4 linked regions of the Caenorhabditis elegans genome follow. The protein of the gene in region 1 interacts with the protein of each later gene in a pairwise test. Each region holds a gene or a part of one and is shown in the gene's direction. Other genes may lie near its edges.

The links.
Region 2: the proteins of ZK546.5 (region 1) and ztf-8 interact in a two-hybrid assay, tested with the Caenorhabditis elegans proteins (one large-scale study listed by BioGRID).
Region 3: the proteins of ZK546.5 (region 1) and exc-6 interact in a two-hybrid assay, tested with the Caenorhabditis elegans proteins (one large-scale study listed by BioGRID).
Region 4: the proteins of ZK546.5 (region 1) and xnd-1 interact in a two-hybrid assay, tested with the Caenorhabditis elegans proteins (one large-scale study listed by BioGRID).

What each region holds. Positions count from the first base shown.
Region 1 is NC_003280.10:4,934,011-4,938,474, forward strand, and holds ZK546.5 (C2H2-type domain-containing protein), read left to right. Parts: upstream 1-1,807; coding exon 1,808-1,889; intron 1,890-1,940; coding exon 1,941-2,017; intron 2,018-2,076; coding exon 2,077-2,277; intron 2,278-2,331; coding exon 2,332-2,425; intron 2,426-2,479; coding exon 2,480-2,811; intron 2,812-2,860; coding exon 2,861-3,153; intron 3,154-3,204; coding exon 3,205-3,739; intron 3,740-3,787; coding exon 3,788-3,919; 3' UTR 3,920-3,964; downstream 3,965-4,464. Other genes in the region: gst-30 (glutathione transferase), read right to left, coding at 1-435, 874-1,006; ZK546.4 (Energy transducer TonB), read left to right, coding at 4,046-4,159, 4,207-4,464.
Region 2 is NC_003281.10:5,268,232-5,275,466, reverse strand, and holds ztf-8 (C2H2-type domain-containing protein), read left to right. Parts: upstream 1-1,995; 5' UTR 1,996-1,997; coding exon 1,998-2,077; intron 2,078-2,127; coding exon 2,128-2,227; intron 2,228-2,275; coding exon 2,276-2,562; intron 2,563-2,638; coding exon 2,639-2,946; intron 2,947-2,993; coding exon 2,994-3,076; intron 3,077-3,465; coding exon 3,466-3,666; intron 3,667-3,733; coding exon 3,734-3,877; intron 3,878-3,921; coding exon 3,922-3,996; intron 3,997-4,105; coding exon 4,106-4,422; intron 4,423-4,431; exon of another isoform or gene 4,432-4,455; coding exon of another isoform or gene 4,456-4,542; intron 4,543-4,593; coding exon of another isoform or gene 4,594-4,708; intron 4,709-4,751; coding exon of another isoform or gene 4,752-4,885; intron 4,886-5,032; coding exon of another isoform or gene 5,033-5,206; exon of another isoform or gene 5,207-5,228; intron 5,229-5,287; exon of another isoform or gene 5,288-5,341; intron 5,342-5,535; coding exon 5,536-5,700; intron 5,701-6,164; coding exon 6,165-6,468; 3' UTR 6,469-6,712; downstream 6,713-7,235. Other genes in the region: toc-1 (similar to Transporter Of divalent Cations), read right to left, coding at 1-52, 125-178; Co-chaperone protein daf-41, read left to right, coding at 711-829, 964-1,313, 1,420-1,478; ZC395.4 (uncharacterized protein), read right to left, coding at 4,456-4,542, 4,594-4,708, 4,752-4,885, 5,033-5,206; ZC395.5 (Ovule protein), read right to left, coding at 6,972-7,117.
Region 3 is NC_003281.10:1,101,381-1,106,240, forward strand, and holds the start of exc-6 (Excretory canal abnormal protein 6), read left to right. Parts: upstream 1-1,827; 5' UTR 1,828-1,843; coding exon 1,844-1,972; intron 1,973-2,744; coding exon 2,745-3,188; intron 3,189-3,662; coding exon 3,663-3,845; intron 3,846-4,013; coding exon 4,014-4,111; intron 4,112-4,860. UniProt on the Caenorhabditis elegans protein: Constitutively active protein required for microtubule and F-actin growth, structural maintenance and organization during excretory cell tubulogenesis.
Region 4 is NC_003281.10:5,602,847-5,608,095, forward strand, and holds xnd-1 (X chromosome NonDisjunction factor), read left to right. Parts: upstream 1-1,613; 5' UTR 1,614-1,614; coding exon 1,615-1,987; intron 1,988-2,033; coding exon 2,034-2,223; intron 2,224-2,273; coding exon 2,274-2,365; intron 2,366-2,412; coding exon 2,413-2,614; intron 2,615-2,703; coding exon 2,704-2,950; intron 2,951-3,407; coding exon 3,408-3,746; intron 3,747-3,790; coding exon 3,791-4,372; intron 4,373-4,419; coding exon 4,420-4,503; 3' UTR 4,504-4,710; downstream 4,711-5,249. Other genes in the region: madf-11 (MADF domain-containing protein), read right to left, coding at 1-26, 75-336, 381-472, 518-584; C05D2.8 (DUF7064 domain-containing protein), read right to left, coding at 4,728-4,992.

The sequences.
Region 1 (4,464 bases):
CCTTGAGTTCTGGGAATTCGTCTAGAAGTGATTGACTGGCAGCAAACACAGATCCACTGTCACTGAGAAGATCTGATGTATGTTGAGCAATCAACAGATCAACCCAGGTGACAGAGTCACCGATCAAGAATCCAGATCCACTGGCTTTAAGGAAATTGGTGAAGAATTGGTAGTTTTTCTTGAAATTTGGAAGGAATGTGTCCTTGTAAAGAGCATCGGCATCTCCTTGTGCAAATCCCATTTTCACGAGATTATAAGATCGGATGTCATTGAGATAATCTTTGAATTGATCTGCAATTGCATTCACTTGAGCTTCTTCCCATGGACATCTTCCATTTATTCCAAATTGGCGAGCAAGAAAACGAGAAATTGCATGGGATTGTCCAAGTGGTTTCCCATCCTGATAAAGGACAGGAAGAGTTCCGAACGGCATAGCTGGAAATATAGAAAATTCAATACAACATTTTTAGACATAAAAAAATTAAATTAGAAAAACCTGTACACAAATATCCCGCCAGCCTCGCAATTAAAAGTGATCGTATTTGTTATTCTATTACATGGAAGATACTTTAACATATATCTCGATTTTGGAACTATACATATTTCATTTCAAAGAGCACCTTCTAAATAGGTCCCTACAAAAAAGTTAGATTTATACGGGAACTTTGAACCAAAAAAGGTAGTTCTGAGATTGCTTTCAGGTCAGTTTTTGTGAACAAAAATCAATGATTTATAATAAGACCCAGAATATTGGTGTCAGGTCTAATCAAGATTTTATCAAGTGGATCTCGCCACGCCCACAGCGGTTAGAGCGGCACAACATTTTAATCACGAATAAATAGTATTTTGAAAAAAAAAGTTTCAAAAACTCACTCGACTTGAGAGCTGGCCAATCAGCCTGTGGAATCCGGTGATCCTCAAACTTTTGCCCGGCATATGCCAGAATCTGTCGTGGAATTTCTCCAGCAAATCGAATTGGAAAATATGAAAGTTTATAGTGGACCATAGTGTGTTTGGAGTCGAATGATGAAAGACCAATTCAAACATTCTCTTTTATACTGTCTCCTTCATTCAATTTGTTTGTCATTCTCATCGTGTTTTTTTTTCGAAGTAAGGCGGCATTAAAAATGTACGAGAAAGGTTGCCAAAATGATGACAATTGCTTGGAATTGGGAGAAAATCGAGGAAACTAGAGACGCGTCTTGCCACATTTATCATCCTTGCTAATATTAAGGTGTGATTCTGTTGGTCTTACGTGATTTGAGAATGCTCTTTTTTATAGTCAGCATATTTGAGACACTAGTGTAATAATGAAGAATTGAGAACAGTTCATATCTAACAAAATGACTATTACAATGTAAACTTTAATTAATAAAAAAAATTAATTTAAATTTCCGTTCTTCACTAATTACCTGGCAATTTACGAAAAAATACGGTACCCGGTCTCGAAACGACCAACTAGATTTAAAGGAGTACTGTAGATCTCGCAATTGTCTTGGATTTGTTGTTATTTTCATAATTTACATCAAAATTGGAATTCAGAGCTGAAGACATGAAGAGTACGTACAGTTTTGCTTACCGAACAAAAAATATACGATTATTTTTAATACTTTTTGGTCCAATTTACTCGTCTAGTGGCCCTTCCCACAAAGTCGACTCCAACGCTGCGTCTCCGTTCTCTCGCTTGCATCCAATGGAGCGCACTTACATTAAATTTTATTTATTGAATTTTTATCGGTTTTGCCATGTATTTTTTAGTTTTAATTCCTCTAACTTTCTACAATTTAGTAAACTTTTTTGTTTTTAGATGGCTGCAATTATAGGTGGAGGACCACGAAAACCGCCAAGAATCATACGAAAAAATGTAGCGCTTAAACATACGCGGAAAGGTATAAAAATATTGTTTTTAGTCGCAGAAGTCATAATTCAAATCATTATAGATGTTCGAGACGACGAAGGTGAAAAAGTTAAACGAGAAGGATATGAAGTACAATCAGGAGTATTGACTGTAAATGAGGTAGATTTGTTATTTAATTTAAGTATTAAATTATTGTAGGAAAAATTATTAATATTCAGAATCACCCATCCAACTTCAAACCGAAGAAATTGCCAGGAATCGCTAACGATGTCGAATCTTATCCATGCCGATTTTGTGAGGAGAAAATTTTTTTGACTGCATCAGGACTTGAAAAGCATGGAAGAGAGTGTCACCTGCAGAATTTAGACGATATCATGCTAGATATTAATACAATTTGTGGAGAATGGAAGAAAAGAGAGGTATTTTAAATTTAGAAAATTGTAACTTTTTTTAAAACAAAATAAAGATTTCAGTTCGAACGGCTCCGATCTCGCGATCGACTAACAATGGATAAAATGAGACACGAAGCAAGAGCACATCAACTTGTAAAAGCTGTTCTTGCTGGAAGTAAGTAAAATTAGAAAAAAATAAATAAATATATAATAAAATGTACATTTTAAGATCAGCCGACTGTAGGAGGAGAACAATATGAAGCTTGTACAATCTGTAATATGCTCGTCAACATAGCACATCCAACAGCCATGGAATCTCATCAAAGAGCACACAAAAAGAATGACGAGCTTCGATTACAGCTTATTGATCGATTAGGAGCTCACGAGGTTCAGAATCTGACGTGTGAATTATGCTCATTAGTATTTCCTGATGATGGGAAGCTAAGAGCCCACGTTACATCGCATCACACCCGACGAAAAAAATATATTTGCAAGTTCTGCGGTCATATCTCTCACAGTATGTCAGAGTTGAATCTCCATAAAAACGATGTTCATAATTATGTAAGTTAGATTTAAATTCAACATTTTCGATTAATTTTTTCATTTTCAGACAGCATGGGCAAATGTACCAGAATACCTGAAATCACGTCGAACATTTTACCAATATGATGAAGAACAAAAACGATTGCGGCGACGAACAAATTTTGAAATGGCTGATGAAATGTCAATTCGACTGCCAATTCTTGGAGAGATTTCTGATGGAGACACTGCCGGACGAGTTACATGTCCAGAATGCGGACTAAAGTTGAATCGACCTCGTCTTTTGTTCAAGCACATGGAACGAGTTCATATGAAATCTTCGTTTTCTTGTATGGTTGAGACAGGAGGTCTCCCTACCTTTGAGTAATTATTTGTTTTAAACAAGAAAAATATCTAGAAAAAATATTTTTGCAGATTAGAAGTATCAAATGGTGAGATCTTTTGGACGTGCTGTGATTCTAAATTCGACAATCGTCCGGAGTTCATCGAACATCGACGTCTTCATATTCCAACTCAACATGAAGAAGTCGTTGTTGAAAGCTCCGAAGATCCGAATGATATTCCATCTACATCCCAAGCAATGATTCCAGATGAGGATGCAAATGAAGCAGCAGAACAACACAACTTCCCACAAATGATTCATGATGAGCATGGAAATATTCAAGTTCTCTTACCAGAAGGATATGATCTCAGAGAAACTTATTATATTTACGATGAGAATGGAACGAAAATTCAATTGGTCCCATTACAACAACCAGATGGAACTATCGATCATCATCACCTCGTTCCTCAATTTGAAATAAATCATGAAGGCGAGGAGCAGATAATTGAAGAGGGCGATGAGATGATGGCATTGGAAAATGCTGAAATTGAAGGAGAAGTTGCTGAAAATGAATATGATCAGTTTCAAATGGATCTAGGAAATGACTGGGATAATATGGGTAATGTGGTGAGTGGAATTTTGAAAATTGTTTTTTATAAAATTCGTAAATTTCAGCAAATGATCTTAGTGAACGAAGATGATACTCTAGAAGAAGAACATGTCGAAGATGTGGATCATCAAATAATCGAAAATGTCGAAGGCGATGAAGGGGTGATTGAAATCAACGGGCAACCACTTTTTGATTAGTCTTAAATATAAATAATTTTTTTTTCGAATAAAAATAAATTAAATTCAGTTTTTCACGTACATCCAACAATAATAAGTCAGGAAAAACCAAATATTTCAATTATTTCACAATTTAATCAAATCGAAATGTCGCGAGCAATCACACCAGCAGTTCCGAGGAGAAGTTTTCGAAAAGAAGCGATTGTGACAGTTGCTGCTGTTGGAATTGCGATTGTTGTTTGGAATTTCAGAGATAAAATTGTAAGAATACTAGGAGGATTTAACATCGAATTTCCGTTTTGTTTCAGTCTGATTTTTGGAATTATTTGGCTTTTTCGCGTCCCACAAACTCGGCTCCAACTTCGGAACGCGAGAAAATCGATCCATCCAAGACTGCTCCTGAATCATGGGATGCTCAAAAGTCTGCTGACATTGCTCCCGAGTCTGTAAAGGTTCCAGCGTCAGATGAGAAGCATGAACAGCCAACTGAGCAACAACCAAAGGAGATTGTCGGAAACCTTGCACCGGAATCCACCGAAAAGAATGCACCCAGCTCATCCGTCTAT
Region 2 (7,235 bases), on another chromosome or scaffold:
GTTTCCCTTGAGGATGGTGTAACGACCTTGATACCCATGAGAAGCTGACCATCTGAAAATAGAACACTGCATTTTTGTTTCTGAACAATTTTAGACGCATAAAACAATAAATTAACAACTATACGCTGTGGAAGTCAACACGATTCAAATTTTTCTTCAGAAAATCCATTGCTTCCATATTTCCATCAAAAAATGTTCATTGAACGATTTAAAATTAAGCTGAAATGAGCCAAAACCTCGTAAATGGAGACGTGTTCGTTCAAAGGCGCGCGCACTTTCACCACTGGGTCTCGCCGCGATTTGGGAACTCTCTCGAATTATTTGAATTTCTGCCGTTTTATCATCTTCATTATGCGTTTCCATGGCAATTTTCCTGAAGAACATTCGCGACTTTATATTTCTAATCCATTTACGTTTATATTCAATGCCATTCGCACTTAAAATATATCGATTTTGGCCAATAGTCCTTGTATTTAGGAGAAAAAGGTTGTAAGAGAAAAATCAATCGAAAAAAGAAATTAAGTGGACAATTCTTGCTTGTTATTGCCGTGATATGAAAACATTTTCATCTGATGGCTTTATTTTCGTCAATTTGCATAATCATGCTAATTTCAACTGTGCGCTTATTTATATGTCGTGCACCTTCCTTGAATTTTATTGATTATTGTTCGTATCCGTCTAGTTCTCTTTTCGAATTACAGGCAAAAACCATGGCTAAGCAACCAACAGTTCTCTGGGCCCAGCGTGAATCACTTGTCTATCTGACCATCGAGGTTGATGAGGCGAAAATCGAGGAACTGAAAGGAGAGGGAAACAAGCTTCACTTCCAGTACGTTTCGGATTAATATTTCGATTTCTATTTTAAATGTTTAAATACGATATGAAGCATATTTCTTGCTTCCTAAATATTCACAGAATGTTCATGATGGTACATAGAATGAGTCGTAATTCGTAAATTTTCAGAGGAAGCAGCAAAACTGACAAGTACGAAGCAACTCTCGAATTCTTCGACGAAATCGATCCTGCATCCGTAAAGCACACTGGATCTTCAACCCGCGTCGTTGAGATCACAGTTCAGAAGAAGACCCCAGCCTGGTGGCCAAGACTTCTTCAAAACAAGGGAAAGGTCCATTGGTTGAAGGTTGACTTTGGAAAATGGAAGGATGAAGACGAGGATGATGAGGCTGAGGATGCCGGAGCCGGAATTGGCGGTGGAATGGCGAACGGATTCGATTTGAACCAGTACATGTCCCAGATGGGAGGAGCTGGCGGAGCAGACTTCGGAGGTCTTGAGGATGATGAGGAAGATGACGGTAAGTATTAAGTGCAATAATATCCTTTTTGCTTACTATTAGTAATTCGTTAATGATAGAAAACCAATGTAGTATTAAAATGTTATTTATTATAAAAAATTTTCAGATATGCCAGATCTCGAAGACAACGAAGAGGAGGAAGGAAAGAACGGAACGAGAGCTTAAGCAACTCCTCAAGTCCCAATTGTTTCATTAAAAATACAATTTGAATTTCTCTAATTTAATTCTTTATTCATTTTTCTCTATCCCGATTATTCCTCTTCCAGTTTGTGAACGCTTCACGTATCTCAGTCACAGAGTTTCATTTATTGTTTCCACTTTAAATATTTATTGAGTAAAGTGATATCACACCCATCTTCTTGCAGTGAACTTGTGAATTCTGACGGCTTAATTTTTATCCCGCATTCGTTTTTCTAATCAGTTTCCATGGGCAAGAACACAATTGGTAAGGCTCTGGTAATACTTTTCTAAAGTTGTTACTTTTTTTAAAATGTGAGCATACAAGGTATTTAATTTTGTCTTCTTTGTGGATCCACATGGAGAAAAAACTCCTGAAGACATAAATTTTACTCATTCAAGCTGGATAATATCATTCAAATCATATCATTCAAGTTAATACGCTTTTTCCGATCAATCATCTGAATCACAGCCAGAGATTAAATTATGAAATCGTATTTTTAAGATATGAACCAATTAGTGTGTCCATTGTGCTGCGAAACGCTGAAAGAGGAAGGCGCACACTTCTACAAACATTTTAAGTACAAGTGAGGATTTTAAATGTTATTTCTATTATTAAATTCATATATAATTTTAGGAGATATGCATGCGGAGAGAGCACATGTGATATGGGATTCTACACACAACAGGAGCTCAATGCTCATTGCTCGAAACACGGACACAAGCGCTCTTTTCAGGTTTTGAGACGATTTTCTACAATTAAAAATATTGTTTTTTTTCTTCAGAAGACAGTAAACCCATACATTGACAAAATGATATCGGTTGTTGTGGAAGACGCATACGCCCTAGCGACTGACGATATGGAAACTGTGCTTGAGAAGCGATGGGGAAGAGATCCGAGATCAGTGTCACCGACTTCACCTGTTAAAAAGACTCCTACTGATAGTGCAAAGAATAAAAGAAGTTCCGTCGTAACTCCAACATCTCCTCCAGTGCCAAAAAAGGCAAAATCGGGAACTTCTACGACTTCACCATTTGCATTTTTAAATAGAAGAACAAATAATTCTGAGAGGTATTTATTCACTAAATACAATTTTAACAATGCCTAGATTCCGACAAAGCCCTCGTTTTAAAAATGATATATTCAGCTCACTCTGCCCCAACGCCTCCTCAACATCAGCTCAGCCAGCTTCATCAAGTTCAGCTCAAGCTATAGTTGATTCAACAACCAGTGAACATAATATATCTATTGATAAAACAAAGAAACCGAGGAAGAAAAGAAACGAGTCAATGACAGCAGCTCAAAATCAAGAGAAAGCTGGAAAAAATGCAAATTACGATGAAATGTCAGCGATTGATAAACTAATTGGATGGTTTGATCCAAATGTTCCAGAGAGACGAGATGCTGCAAAAGTGAAATGTGCGGTTTGTAATGAAGAAATAGTTTATGATTTTAGTGAGTTTTTGAAATCTCTAAATTCGAATTTAGTTTTTATCTTACAGTTCTCCGAAAAGGACACGTGACTCGTTCCCACATGGCAGCTGATGTAGCACCAGAAGATTATGATGATTTGCTGAAAACTGCGGTATGTACAGGAAAACAAATTAAATTGAGAACAAGGCTGTGCAGCAAATCTACAAAAACAAATTTAAAAAAGGAATATGATATTTCATTTTGAGGCAAATCTGAATTCGAGAAGGAAAAAAAAAGAATTATTCTTATTTTTTTCGAAACAAAAAACGAAAAATCTACAGCCCTGACGGTGACTTTCCTGCACTTTTTGAGATAATTTTCGAGTTTTTTTCTCAAAAATAAATATCATATTCAGATCGAATGAACATTTCCCCCACACTGTTATATTAATTTTTAATTTGAATTAATTGATTATCATACTGAAATTATAAGTTTTGACCCTGTATCTACATTTATCCTAACTAGGTTGCAGTTTTTAAATTAAGAAAAAATGAGTTTCAGATGGATCGATCGTATCCAGATCTCCCAAATTCGGATCTTGCTTGTCAACTTTGCATGACTGGTGCTGAAGTTCGAAAAAATATGCGCCGAGAGCATATCGAGAAGCTGCACACGACGAGTCTTCCACCGCTAACATGTCCAGTTGGAGAATGTGAAAAAGGATTCAGAAGACAGTGTGATTTGAGTTCTCATATGAAAGATGTATAGTTTTATTTATTTAATTTATAATAAAGCTAGGAAATTGACAAAAAAAATCAAAGAATTCCAGACACACAAAGCGAGCATGGCAGTGTACAAAAATGCAACATTTCAACAAGTTCGTCGCCGTCGAAATGCTATGATAAACGAGATGATCAATAAATGCTTTCCGTGGTCTCGATTAGAAGCAATTGAGAATAAGACTGTAGTTGGGGTTTGTTGAATTATTAAAGTTTTCTGGGTAATTATGAGATTCAGGAGAAGTCGGATTCTGTTAACCGCGCTCCTGTCGATCGCTCGTTTGACACAGATGTTCGAGTGAGAGACGTTAACGTAAGTTTTTAGAAAAATTATCTACGGGAGTCATCACGACCAAGAGTGACATCCAAATTTTTTTTTAATTGAAATTTAATTTTTCAATTCTTACAAAACACATTTTCAGAAAACTCGCCGTGCTCCTCAATACAATGCGAACCGATCTTCGTCGTCCGATTCTGATTCAGAACATGAAGAAGCAGCGTCGGTGGCTACGGGAGAAGTTTCCGAAACTGGTGGAACCGATGATTTCCCGCAAGACGTCATATACATATGTCATCAATTCAATACGGAAGTTGCTCAAAAACTGTCGCAGATCGTCAGAATAAAGCCAGAGATCATTGATGTGGAAGACGTGCTTATGAATGATGTTACAATGGAAATAAATGAGATTCCAGTTAAAGAAGAAACAGAGGAAGAGCAACCGAAAGAGGAAAATAACAGGTAAAAATTGCATAGATTAAGCTTTATTCGTTTTTAAGTAGTTTTCTCGCTGCTTCCTGCAATCTTCTTTTCATCAACAGACAATTGTTGCGTTATCTCAAGTTTTCGAGTTTCCGTAGCCTGGGAAAATAAGAAAATATTTAGATTAGTCTAAAAATAAATACTCCTCACCTCTTTAGAGTTGCCCTTCAGTATTGCTTTCTCGAATTTCGGAAAATCGTCATCCAGCGTCACATACTCGGGATCTTTGCTTTCCTTCATTCCGGTCACAGTGCGTTTCGCGTCACTGTAATGAGAATGATTGGGAAATTAGTTATTATTGTGCTTACAGTTTTCTTGGTGGAGCTACAGATGGTCCATGTGACATTTCTGAAGCTTTTTCGGCAATCTTCTTGAGTTGAGACACCGCCTCGTTGTGTTCATCCTTTGCATCACGATCACTTTGCCTTGGTCCCTTGCTCTTCTGAAAAAAGTCATTTTCCAATAATAAATGCCTGAAAACTCTTGAGAATTGGCGAAACTAACTGAATTTTTTTTTAAATTTACGGTTTCGCCGCCAAACACCACTTTTATCTGCGCCCTTCTAATAATATTTCCATCCCTCTCTTACCTCCTTGGACGGAACTTTTGCCATTTTGCTTGCTCCCTTCTCTCCCGATTGAGCTGTTGTCGAATGTGAAATTGACTTCATTTCGGGATTAACACTTCCACCAGTACCAGGAGTCGATAGATTCTTCTTCGCCGATTTCATTTTCTTCTTCTGCTTACACTTTGTGACACACATTTTTGAACTACTACACACGTGCCTGGAAGTGTGCGGAAATTGTTCTTCAACGGAAACGATAGACGAAAAAAATAAACTCACTATTACAGTTCGATTTATTGAAAAATGATAATCGAACAGATGAGTGAAATGATTAAAAATAAGAACTGATGAAATTGAACCTTTTTGAATATTTCGTTTTGATGTTTTTTTCTTACGTAAATAGTTTAGATTAATATTTTTCTCCCGTAAGGTTACATATTAATTCCTTTTGAAAGTTTTTTGAAATTTTTTGAAAATTGCCCGTTTTTGGAAAGATTCAGTACTCCATATTATTTTATTATTTTCAGTACTCTACCATCAATTCCAATTCCATCAATCTTCTCACCATATGAGCCAATTGTTCCACCACCAGCTACATCTCCAGATCCAATGAATCCGCCAATTGCATCACTGCTTCCAACTCGAATTCTCAGTGCGACAAACGTTTTGGAGAATAAATATAATGAAAATGTGTGAGTTTTTACGAAATATCTGAAAATTAAAAAAAAACAACTTTTGATGTTTCCTATCAATTTTGCAAAATTAAAAAAAGATGGGCTAATTATTTTCAAATTCTCGCGTTAATGAATTGCCTAGTTTAACGTTTTCAGCTCGTTTTCCGCGAAAAAATTATTTATAACGGTGAAACTGTTTTTAAGTCAGTTTTGAAGTTTTAGTGAATTTATTTTGGCCTAAAAATTGAAAAACTCATCTTCATATTAAATATTTTTTATACTGAAAAACATTTGTTCAGCCAGGGAATTTAAAAATAATTAGCCCATCTTTAATTTAATTTAATTTTCATTTATATTTATTACGATAGTAAGATATGGAAAAAAAATCATTAAAAAATTATAAACGTTTTAATTTTTAAGCAGTTAAATTCAAAATCAGATCAGTTTTAACCATCATTACAATATATAATTTCTAATTTCAGTAGCTCAAGAAGATCGACATCACGTGAACGTTCTTCCAACAGAAACTACGATGAAAGATGGTCTCGAAATGACTACAGTAACCCTCGTAACTACAGCAATCGTTCATTCCATCAACGAAACCAACGGGGACATTCATCATCGAATCGTTTCAATTCTCCATTTGTTAGTCGAAATAACTACAACAACAATTCTGAAACAACTGAAGGATCTTCTCGTCGTTCCGAATATAATTCTTCGTCTTCCAATCATCATTCCCGTTCGTCATATCGTGGCAATCGAGATGATCGAGGCTCTCGATGGTAAAGCCGCCATCAATATTATATATGCATTTTCCTTCTAAAACCGTTCAATCTTCAAATATTTCCCTTAACCTTCCAGTATTCCAAATCAGCTTGTGCGAAATTTTAAGAAAATTTCTCGAAAAATCTAAATCTCCTTCGCTTTCAAACATCAAATTTAGTTTCTGTGTGTTAGTATATCCTAGCGTTTCATATCTAAGATAACAATTCTCAATTATCTCTTTTTAGTTAGCAATAAAATAATGCCATTGTTGTTTGACTTTAATTGTTGAATCTCTCGTTCTGTTTAAACGAATATTCCATGTGTGTTGTGTTTTATAATATTTTATTGCTTCTATCGTTCTCCAAAGTCTCGATTCAAAAATCCATGTTTCTAAATACGGAAGTGAAACTAAAACTGTTAAATCTAAAATTTTCGAATCAATATAAGTACATTTATTTACAGAAACAAAAAATTACAATTTCAACATATAAAATTACAAAAATCAACAAGAAAACGATATAATTTTAATACATTTCTTTTTCAAATGGATCATCAATCTTGACACTAAAATCCATTGATCGGTTCAAAAAATCGCGGAATTGTTCGATTAAACTGTCACGGCGACGACTTCCGATAGATTCCATGTGACAATCCATTGATGTATCAGATGCTGAAAATTTTTATAATATCAATAACTTTAGAGGGGAAAATTACCTGAAATATATTACCGAGACGCAAAACCTTACGATTTTTACACCAAACTAAGGCGTCCGGTCTCGAAACGACAA
Region 3 (4,860 bases), on another chromosome or scaffold:
AAAATTTTGGACTAAAAAAAAATTGAAATTTTCGAAAAACCAAAAAAAAAAAATCCAAAAAATTTTTGATGCTTTTGGTCGATTTGTAAAGTTATTCAAGTAATGTTGCAAAATGTATTAAAATACATTTTTTGTACCATTTTGTACCGAGTTCGGCTCTAGCTTCTTGCTCAAGTTTGGCCCAAACAATATTAACTTGGATCAGAAGAGTTGGGCAAGACTTTGGCAAAACTTGGATTTGGGAAAAATCAAAGTTTAACTCAAGTTTTGCCCAACTCTTGCCAAACTTGCCAAACAAACAAAATTCTACCCCAGTTTGAAGCCAAAGTTTGGCAAGAGTTGGGCCCCCCAACATCTCCAACTTTTGCCCAAGTTAATAATTTTAGGGCCAAACTTGGGCAAGAAGCTAGAGTCAAATACTGAGATTTGTACCAATATCTATAAAATTTAAAACAACATTTGTCTGTGTCGTCATGACAGATTTTTGTTTAACACCCTCTATCATCCTTAGCACATCTTATCAAAAACCTACCCCCCCCCCCCCCCTCAACCAATCCAGTTAATATCCCGGATATCATCATCCTCACCCAAGTACCTCCAGTCTGTTTACCTGGGGGGGATATCGCGCAACGACCACAGATTTCGCATTTTTGATCTCCCGCTGGCTGCTATATCATCTTTATTTGTACTCACTCCCCTCTTGTGTATCTCTATTGTGTGTGTGAATATTGAATATGCTAATGAGCCCCACTCGAGAGTCTTCCACAACAACTGTATAATATCTTTTATATCGATAGTACACCCCCTCTGTTCAAACAAATCTTGTCATGGGGCAACTTTTTATTTGATCTTTCTAAACTTTTTCGCGGCTTACCACCTAACTAGTTTCTAATTGACACATACACTAGAGTTTTAATGAGGTGTTAAGCCATCGAATATTGCATTGGAATGATGATTGGCAGTTGCTCATTTTACGTTTTCAAAAATTGGTGTGCCAGTTACTCTACATTGCGCTTGCTTCTTTAAAAAGGCATAACTCCTTAGAAAATTTTGTTTTTTAATAAATTAAAATAATAAAAATAGATACAAGTCATAGTGTTTGAAATTTTGCACAGTCTCTCAGTTTGCAACTTTTGGCCAAAATTTTTTTCCGCGAAGTAATGCGCCTTTAAAGCTGGGCGAGCCTACTCAAAATGGTCGAGAGTGCTCGATCTTATTTAAAGGCGCATAACTCTTTTGAAAATAATATCTTTTAAAATCTTAATAAATACATCTCATAGTTCTTAAAATTCTGCACGTTTTCCCTGTTAACAAATTGTGAATACCTCCTTCCTCCGTGGAGATATGCGCCTTTGAAGCTGGGTCTACTGCCTTTTCTCAACAGGGTCGAGTGTGCTCGTTCGTGTTTAAAGGCACATAACTCGTATGAAAAGTGCGAATTTTAAAATTCAAACATTTATTTCTTACAGCTCTTGACATTCTGCACATTTTTACCGTTTACAAATTTTTGATACCTCCTTTCTCCGCGGAGTTATGCGCCTTTAAAGCTGAGCTCTACCAGGGGGACTAATTGTTTAAAGGCGCATAACTCGGCGGGTTTTTATGCGTTATAAATTTTTTTTTGTAGTATATAAATTATAGCTCTTATAGCTCTTAAAATTGTGTACACATTTTCTTAGTTGGAATTTTTTTGACCACATTTTTCCAGGCCGAGTTGTGTGACCTATTTTTAAAAATTTTCAAAAAATACCTCCATTGCCTAAATTTTCTAAAAAAAATCCCCAATTTTCGCTCAAAAAATGTACTCTAATCAAAAACTCTACACTTTGCAGATGCAAAAACCATGACGAGCGACACAATTCGACAAACTCTCGACGAGCTGCTACTTGACAAGAATGGCGGCAGCAGCAACGAGGCTCGCGCCTTCTTCTTATCACAAATTATCGATCAGCTGAAATTGATTAGTTCTCAGGTATATTTTATTGAATTGGGCGCGTTGTGGGCTTTCAGAAACGTATAATCATGACTAGGCCACGCCCATATATTGATTTTTGACTCCGCCCCTATTTGAAAATATTGCGAAATTGTGAAAAATCTACTGTAACTTTCTGAAATTAAGATTTAGAAAAGTTTGAGTATTTATTTTGTACTCGGCTAGTTATGAGCTTTCAGAAAGTATAATCATAACTAAGCTCCGCCCACTTTGGTTTAGGCTCCGCCCCCTATTGTGAAATACTTGCAAAACTACAGTAATCCTTACCAAAATGAATAATCAAAAAATGTTTTTAACATTTCTGAATATACCATGCTTTTAGCTTTCAGAAACGTATAATCATGACTAGGCCACGCCCATATATTGATTTTTGACTCCGCCCCTATTTAAAAATATTGCGAAATAGTGAAAAACCTACTGTAACTTTCTGAAATTAAGATTTAAAAAAATTTTGAATGTTTTTTTGTACTCAGCTAATTATGGGTTTTCAGAAACGTATAATTAGGCCACGCCCACTTTGGCTTAGGCTCCGCCCCTTTATTAACTTTTTGACAATGAGATGAATAATTTTAACCTTAAGTTTTCTCTATTTTGCCTAAAAAATTTTTTTTTCCAAAAACTGACTATTTGCCAACAAAAACCTTAATTTCGGCCCCGCCCACTTTGTACTAAACTCCGCCCATTTGTAACTCCGCCCATTTGTTTCAACGTTTTTTCTTAAAAAAAAAAAAAAAAATAATAATAATTCCAGACCGATGCAGAACGACAATTGCAAAAACTACAACTAAAGGATCCCAACGACAATATAGTCAAAGCCACGCCCCCTCCTCCGCCCCCGCCCCCGCCTTTAATTTCAATACTCCAACAGGCGCCTCCACCGCCTCCCCCACCGCCTCCTCCAACCCTAAAAGCTCCACCGCCACCGCCAATTTTGGGCCTGAAAACACCTTCAAAAAGCCTAAAAACGCCCACGCCTCGGCCCAAAGAGTGTCCCACCTCGTTTTTGCCGAAAAAAGAGAAAAAGACGAAAACACGGACGGTTCAGTGGTCGAAAATCAACGCGAGTGTGGTTCAGGACGACAGTGTCTGGGGTAAACTGGCGAAAGCCAGCAATGTGGATATCGATTTTGATCTACTCGACAATTTTTTTGGAATTGAGAGCTTGGCGGTGTCGGGAGCCGCCGAGGTGGTCAAGGTAGGAATTTTGTTAATTTTGTTAAATTTAGATTTTTAGACAAAAACAGTTTTATGAAAGTTTTGGAAAAAAATTATTTGAAAAAAAAATCGATTTTTGAAATTTTCCAAAAAAGTTTTTTTTTTTGGAAGTTTTTTATTTAACAAGATTTCATTCACAAATTAGGAACTTTCTTATTAAGTTTTTTGATATAACATCCATCATGCCTATATTCCGGCTATTTTGAGTTCTGACACAGCTGAAACCGGTGCTACAGTACCCCGCGTGGCGAGACCCAAAACTTCAAATTTGACGGAATGTAGGCGTGTAGGGGGTCATTTTGAAGCATTTGAAAAATTAAATTTAGATTTTTAAACAAAACAGTTTTACAGAAGAGCTTTGGGAAAAAACTATAAAAAAATTTCGAAAAAAATTTTCAACCCAAAAAAACATTTTTTTTTCCTCCTGAAAATTTCAAATTCCTTAAATTTCCAGAAATCTACACGAAAAGACGCCCACGTAGAATTATTAACTGCAAAACGTAGTCAAAACGTGGCAATCATGCTGAAACAGTTCAAAAATATCGATGAGCTCATCGATGACGTCAGCCAAAACAAGCCGGTCGCCGAAATAGATGCTTTGCAGAATTTGTTTGGAATGCTGCCGCAAAGTGAAGAGGTAAGTGAAAATAAATGGGAAATTCGGATTTAGCGCCAAAAATCGATTGGGAATCGATTTTTTTTTCGGCGAAAATTTGGATAAAATTGAATTTTCGAAAAATTTTTTGATTTTTTTGAGATTTTTTCATGAAAAATTCAAATTTCCCCAAAATCTTCAAATTTTCAGGAAGAAGCCCTACGACGATACACCGGTGACATTTCCCTACTTTCTCCTCCATCGAGCTTTTTCTACCGTCTAGTGCAGATTCAATTCTATCGCTTACGGTGAGTATTCGCTGCGAGACCCGATTTTTTTGGATTTTTAAGTGTGAAATTCGAGTTGAGCTTGCTGAGCGCTTCAATTTAGGTATAATCATGACCAGGTTCCGGTAATCCGGAAATTTAGGCGACACCTCTTTTCTTGGCTTATTGTGAAATATTGATTATAAGTCACGCCCACTTTTTGCACTATAAATGGGTACAGCCTAACATTTGCAAATATTTTTGTAAAAAAGTATATCAAGTCTAGGCTCCGCCTACTTTCAAATCCAAACCACGCCCCTTATTGCGAAATAATAGAAAAGTTATGATTTTTTTTGTGAAATTTTTTAGCTAAGCAGCTTTGTCTTAATTTATTTTGCTCAGAATTGAAAAAAAAAATCAATATTAGTTGACTCCGCCCATTTTCAAATCTAAGCCACGCCCCTTTCTTGGTTTATTGCGAAATTATTGCAAAATGGGGAAATTTTTTATGAATTTTTCCATTCGAACAAGCTTGAACTAACTTTATTTCAATTTTTTTTTGTTTAGAATTTGAAAAAATCAATATTATTTGGCTCCGCCTATTTTCGAATTAAGGCCACGCCCCTTTCTTGGCTTATTGCGAAATGCTTGGAAAATTTGGAAAAACTCTGCAAAAATCAATAGTAAAAATTTCAATTTTGCTCTGTTCGAGCTAATTGAATTGAAACTTTTAGAAAAGTATGCTCATTATTAGGCTCCGCCCATTTTTAAATCTAAGCCACGCCCCTTTT
Region 4 (5,249 bases), on another chromosome or scaffold:
GAGCTGTGAAGGAGGTCGAGAGTCTGCTGAAAATATAAATGATTTTGGTGTATTTCTTTGCAAGAAACTCTTACATTTCTTCTTAAAAATCAATGAATCTGTCCATCGCATTGCCTCAATTAGTCCATCGGACATATCAATCGATTTTCTAGCATATTGATCGAGAAGATCCGACCAGACTTCCTGAACAAGAGTGATGTCCTGCCAAACTATATCAGCACGTATCCGATCCCATGCTTCTCGTTTCTGAACCTTCAACTGAGCATCCGGCGTGGCGGCTTGCATCTCCTCATCGTAGAGAATCGGATTTTCTCGAACCATATTGATTAGTTGAAGCTGAAAATTTGAAAATTTTGAATTTTAAACGTTTTCCAGCTTACAAGTGTGTATTGCGTAGTTTTTACGGGTGGATCTTCCCTGGAAAATTGTTGTTGGAGGTCTCCAGCACCACCGTGGGAGCTTGAGGCGACACCTGGAAAAATTATTGGAAATTCTGAATCTATGAATATCGATTTACTTGTCATTGAATGCTTGAGACCGGCGATTTGATAATCCTCTGTTCCGTGCCGCCGTCGGTCGCTCATTGGAAATTTTTAATAATAATTCTGAAATTTATTTTCTTCTCAAATTCTCGCAAGTTTCTCAAGCATTTCTAGCTGCGTTGCGTGGCGATTCCTTCCCGAATTCGAGTTTCATATCAATCTACGATCCATTGAACCCAATAACCCGATTGGCAAGAAGATGATCGTACACACTCATTCACATAGGTGATAGACGTGCTACAGACCGTGGGAGACTCGAACGGGTAGTAGGGCGGAGCCGGGAACCGCGACGCAACCGAAACGCTTCAGAAACCGCAACGGAACAGGCATGCGAAGCGGTCAAGATTCGAAAAAGAAAACGGAGCGAACAGGCAGAAAAACATCGATAGATAGGCGCGCGTGGCCGAGAAGGAGGCGAGACGAGACATCTAGGCCATCGATGGTTTCTCTGCGTCTCTCAAGTGAGTAAATAAATGGTTTTGAGAGGGTAAAATGAAGAAAAAGGATTGATCGAAATTTAAAAACTTAGTCTAGGAAAGGAAAACAAAGCAGGGGAAATCTGAAACAAAACATATAAAAACACACATTTTAACTATTTTTCAGAGTTAAACAAATATAATCTAACAAGAATTCAACTTCAAAGTGAAGATTTCCAGAAACGAAAATGGTTATGTGATTTAAAAATGTGATTTGTTCAAGGAATTACAAGAAAACTCTGGTTTAACATTTGAAGAAAATCCATATTGCGAAAAATGAATTTTAAAAGAATTATTGACGGTTTTGAAATGTGAAATTTTCAATAAATTTCGAAAAATAGATAACTTTTTTTAAATAAAGAAAAACAACGAAAAAATATTTCAGTGGTTACGGTAAACAAGCATAAGAGTGTTTGCGTACTGCGGACCAAAATCTTCGCGAGACCTCGGGTACTGTAGAAAATTTAGGTATTTTTAAAACTTTATTTTTCTATTAATTTCCCTTCTTTCTCATTGGGATTTTCTAGTTTTCTGGTAAATAAAAACAGTTTAAATTTAAATTTAAAAATTTTATCTCCATATTTTTTGTTTCCAGGATGTCTTCTGAACCCATTGTTGCCAATCTAGACAATTCCATGACGACAGAGCCTGCACCCGCAGCTTTTCCACCAATATCCCCAATGTCATTTGCTTTTATGAATGAAGAAGAACGAGCAGCGGTCAAGTTTCCAAAAGTTGATCCAAAACCGCAAACTGCTAAAGATGATGAACCTTCCACATCCCAGAAAACGTTGAGCGTCGATGATCTTCTGATAGTCGACGACGACGACGAAACTGATTCACCACCGGCATCTTCTAGTAATTATGAACCTAAAGCTCATATTGGATGGGCTTCATTCGGAGATTCCTGTCTCCCACCTCCACCAAAGCCAGTTAAAAAAGCTACGGATCCAAATTTGCCACGAAGAAGTTTGTTTGCAAATGGTCCTCTGTTAAATAAAAATATTGTTTTCAGAAGTCTACGTCATTCGTTCTCAGAATACAGACAAGTCGAAGTCCCCGTTAGTTGTTAATAACCAACAAGTAACACTCGAAAAGGCACAAAATTCTCCAAAAAATCCGAATCCTGTTGTATCTAAGCCAATAGTGCTTACAGACTCTGATGAGGATGTGGACGTTGTTGGATTCGACGAAGAGGAGGAAGCGTTAGTTTTTAAAAAGTTTTTTATTAAACAAAACAATCACCCGTCTTCAGAATTAAAATTATGGCCGACCCTACACGCCCACCAGATCTTCCACCACAGCGATCTCTGATATCCAGATTTGAGTCGAATCGAACCAAAAGAGGTATTTTCCATGAAAATTTGATTTTTTAAAGCTCATTTTCTCTTCAGATATCTTCCGAAACAGTTATGATTCTGATGAGGAGGAATTTCTGCGATCTCGGTACCAGCGAGCTGTCACACCGCCGCCAATTCTCGAGCGACAAAGTGGAAGTACTCGGGAGTCTGTAAGCGAACCAAGTGAAGGGAAAATTCTCGAGGAAGACGCAACGCTTGGAAGTGAACATACGGAAAGAGTCGGAAAACGAATTGAGTAAGTTGAATTTCGGGTTTTTGAAAACCTTGACTTCCAAAATAATGACAATTTGTTTAATAAGTCCTGCTAAAAAGCAAATTTTCCAGATTGGAGGAAATCAATCCATCACAGCTTCTACGAACCAAAATTTCGGCGAGCGCAATTCCAATCCTTCCACTCTCCAAATCGATAATGGAACGTAAAAAAGTAGCTCTGGAGATGACGAAAAACGCCGTGATCAGACAAGCGAATAACTTCCGTCCAAAAGCCAAAAACAGTACCGTGGCTCCAAAAAGTGTCCAAATTCCTGCATATAATCATAAAACTCCTATGACGTTCTACTCGAATATGGCGGTAAATTATATATTTTTGGAAAACCCTAAAGTGGAACTTCAATATTTCGAATTTTCCTGCATTATCATTAACAAAAAAACTTTTCAGCAATTACTAGTGTTTTTCATCCAATAATTATATTATTTCATTCCCTGTTTTCATCATAAGCAAAAAATATTTTCATCTAATGGTTGCACAAAATGGTAAATTTTTTGAAGAACTACAGTAACCCAACTCCAGTTTCTCTCAATAAATTAAAAAAATCTTGGCGAAAAATAAGAAAGTTCAGCGACATTGAAAAGAAGAGGAGAAGGGTTACTGTAGTTCTAAAAGGCGCTTACATTTTTGCGCCGGGATGATTGGAGATAATTGTTCGTGGTGCGACCGTAGTTCTTCCTAAAATTTTGCCACTGGCTAGTACTTTACAAAATCAAATTATTTGTGGCGAGACCTACAACGAACAATTTTCAAAATTCAGGCCCCCGCCTTCGTCAAAGGAGTCAATGGAAGATGTTATCGTTGCGCCGAAATTCAAAAGCCTGTGGATATGAGCTCCTTCCGATTCGTCGACGATTCTACCGTTATTGCCATCCGTGCTCATCTTTGCGATCAGACACGCGTCATGGTAGCTAGAACAGCAATTTGGAATCGAGAATACGCGAAACGACTCGGCGATCGAGCTGCTGGAACTGTTTGGCAGAAACCGGACGAGGTGTCGGCTCAGATGACCGGATTTTGCAGTGCGACGGTTCGTAGATGTATTGAGATTGCCAATATGTCTATCATTCCAAAGTGTGCTGATCGTGTTGGTGTTTCGGTAAGTTTCAAAGAACAAAGAAGATTTAATCTAACTTTTTTCAGAGAAACGAACTGACCTCCCTGAAGTCTTCTTTCGGATCCGAGAAGTTTTGTGGGCAGACCATGCGAGCTCCACATGTACTCACTCAGTTCTACTCAGTTAATCAGGCATCGATGGCTCGTAATAGGGAAGGTTCTGATGGTCCTTCTTCCTCAGCAGCAAGACCGGTTGGAAGACCACCCACTACGCAACCAGTAGAAACTGCAGTGGAGAAAAAGAAGAATGATGAAGATGAGAAAAGACATCATCCACTCACAAACTTCACAACAGCATCCACGTCTTCCCAAAATCTGCAAGATCAACCACCACCCAAGAATACCGTTCTCCGCTGGTCAAATATCACAACTCCGAGGATTCTTCGTCCACCAACTCTCAAAACTCCCTACTCGCTTCCCAGGACTGCAGTGATTCCGGTGATGAAGAAGAAGCAGCCCGAAATAGAGCAAGTTCAGCCGAAGAAGGACACGACGGCAAGCCTTGTTCGCAAAAGAGGCCGCCCGAGAAAGGAGAAGCCTCTGGAGGTGCAGTCTCCTCGCAAGGGACTATATCTTCGCTTCAAATCGTGCACAAAGTATATTGTTCGGGTAAGAGAACTGAACAATTTGAAAACTTGAAATATTTGGTTTTACAGACTCCAATTGACAAAAGTGTCCAAGAAACGGTGAACTATCTACTGGATGAGGTTGACAAAAGGGCTTCAACTTCTGCTACGTAGCTGCTACAATCTCTGTTCTTTTGTTTTTGTTTTCTCGTTCTAAATGTTTTGTTGTCTCATGTTTTTAGTTCTTCGGAACTTGTTATCCCCTCCCAGTGTTTTATTATTTTTTGTACATTTTACTGTTGCTCTGTTCTGCACGTTGACCCCACATTTGTTAGTAGCATATGAAACGGTTTTATAAAGTAAGTGGAAAAGGTAGAAAATCTGAATTTGATAATTTTTTAATACGGCTGAATACGATACTCGACTTCCGCGAATCCCCATCCCGGCTTTCCGTCGACAACGAATTCGCTCATTCCTTCGGTGACCTGACATGCTTGATCCAATCCCATTTTGAATGAGACGGCTTCCTTGATATGAACATCTGCGTGATGAATCTTGCCGTCAACTTCGAACGAGTAGTGGAAATCATCAGGGAAATGACGATCCTCTCCGTGGTTTGGAAGGGAGAAGTGTACACGATCCACTGGCTTCGTCTCACCAGTTCTGAAAAAAAAAATTTAGGTTCTGCCCATTAAGGAAATTACTAGAATCTTTTGCGAGAATACGGTACTCGGTCTCGAAACGACTTAAAGGACACTTATAATGATCCAAAACGACGAAAAATCATAATAAAACACTCCAAAAATGTTTATATTTTTCGTAAGCTTTCGCAAATTGCCAAAATATTGAAAAATAGGAGCTATTGAGAAAATCTAAAGCAATGTTGCATACCCCTACAATGTGTTAATACGAATAGTTAA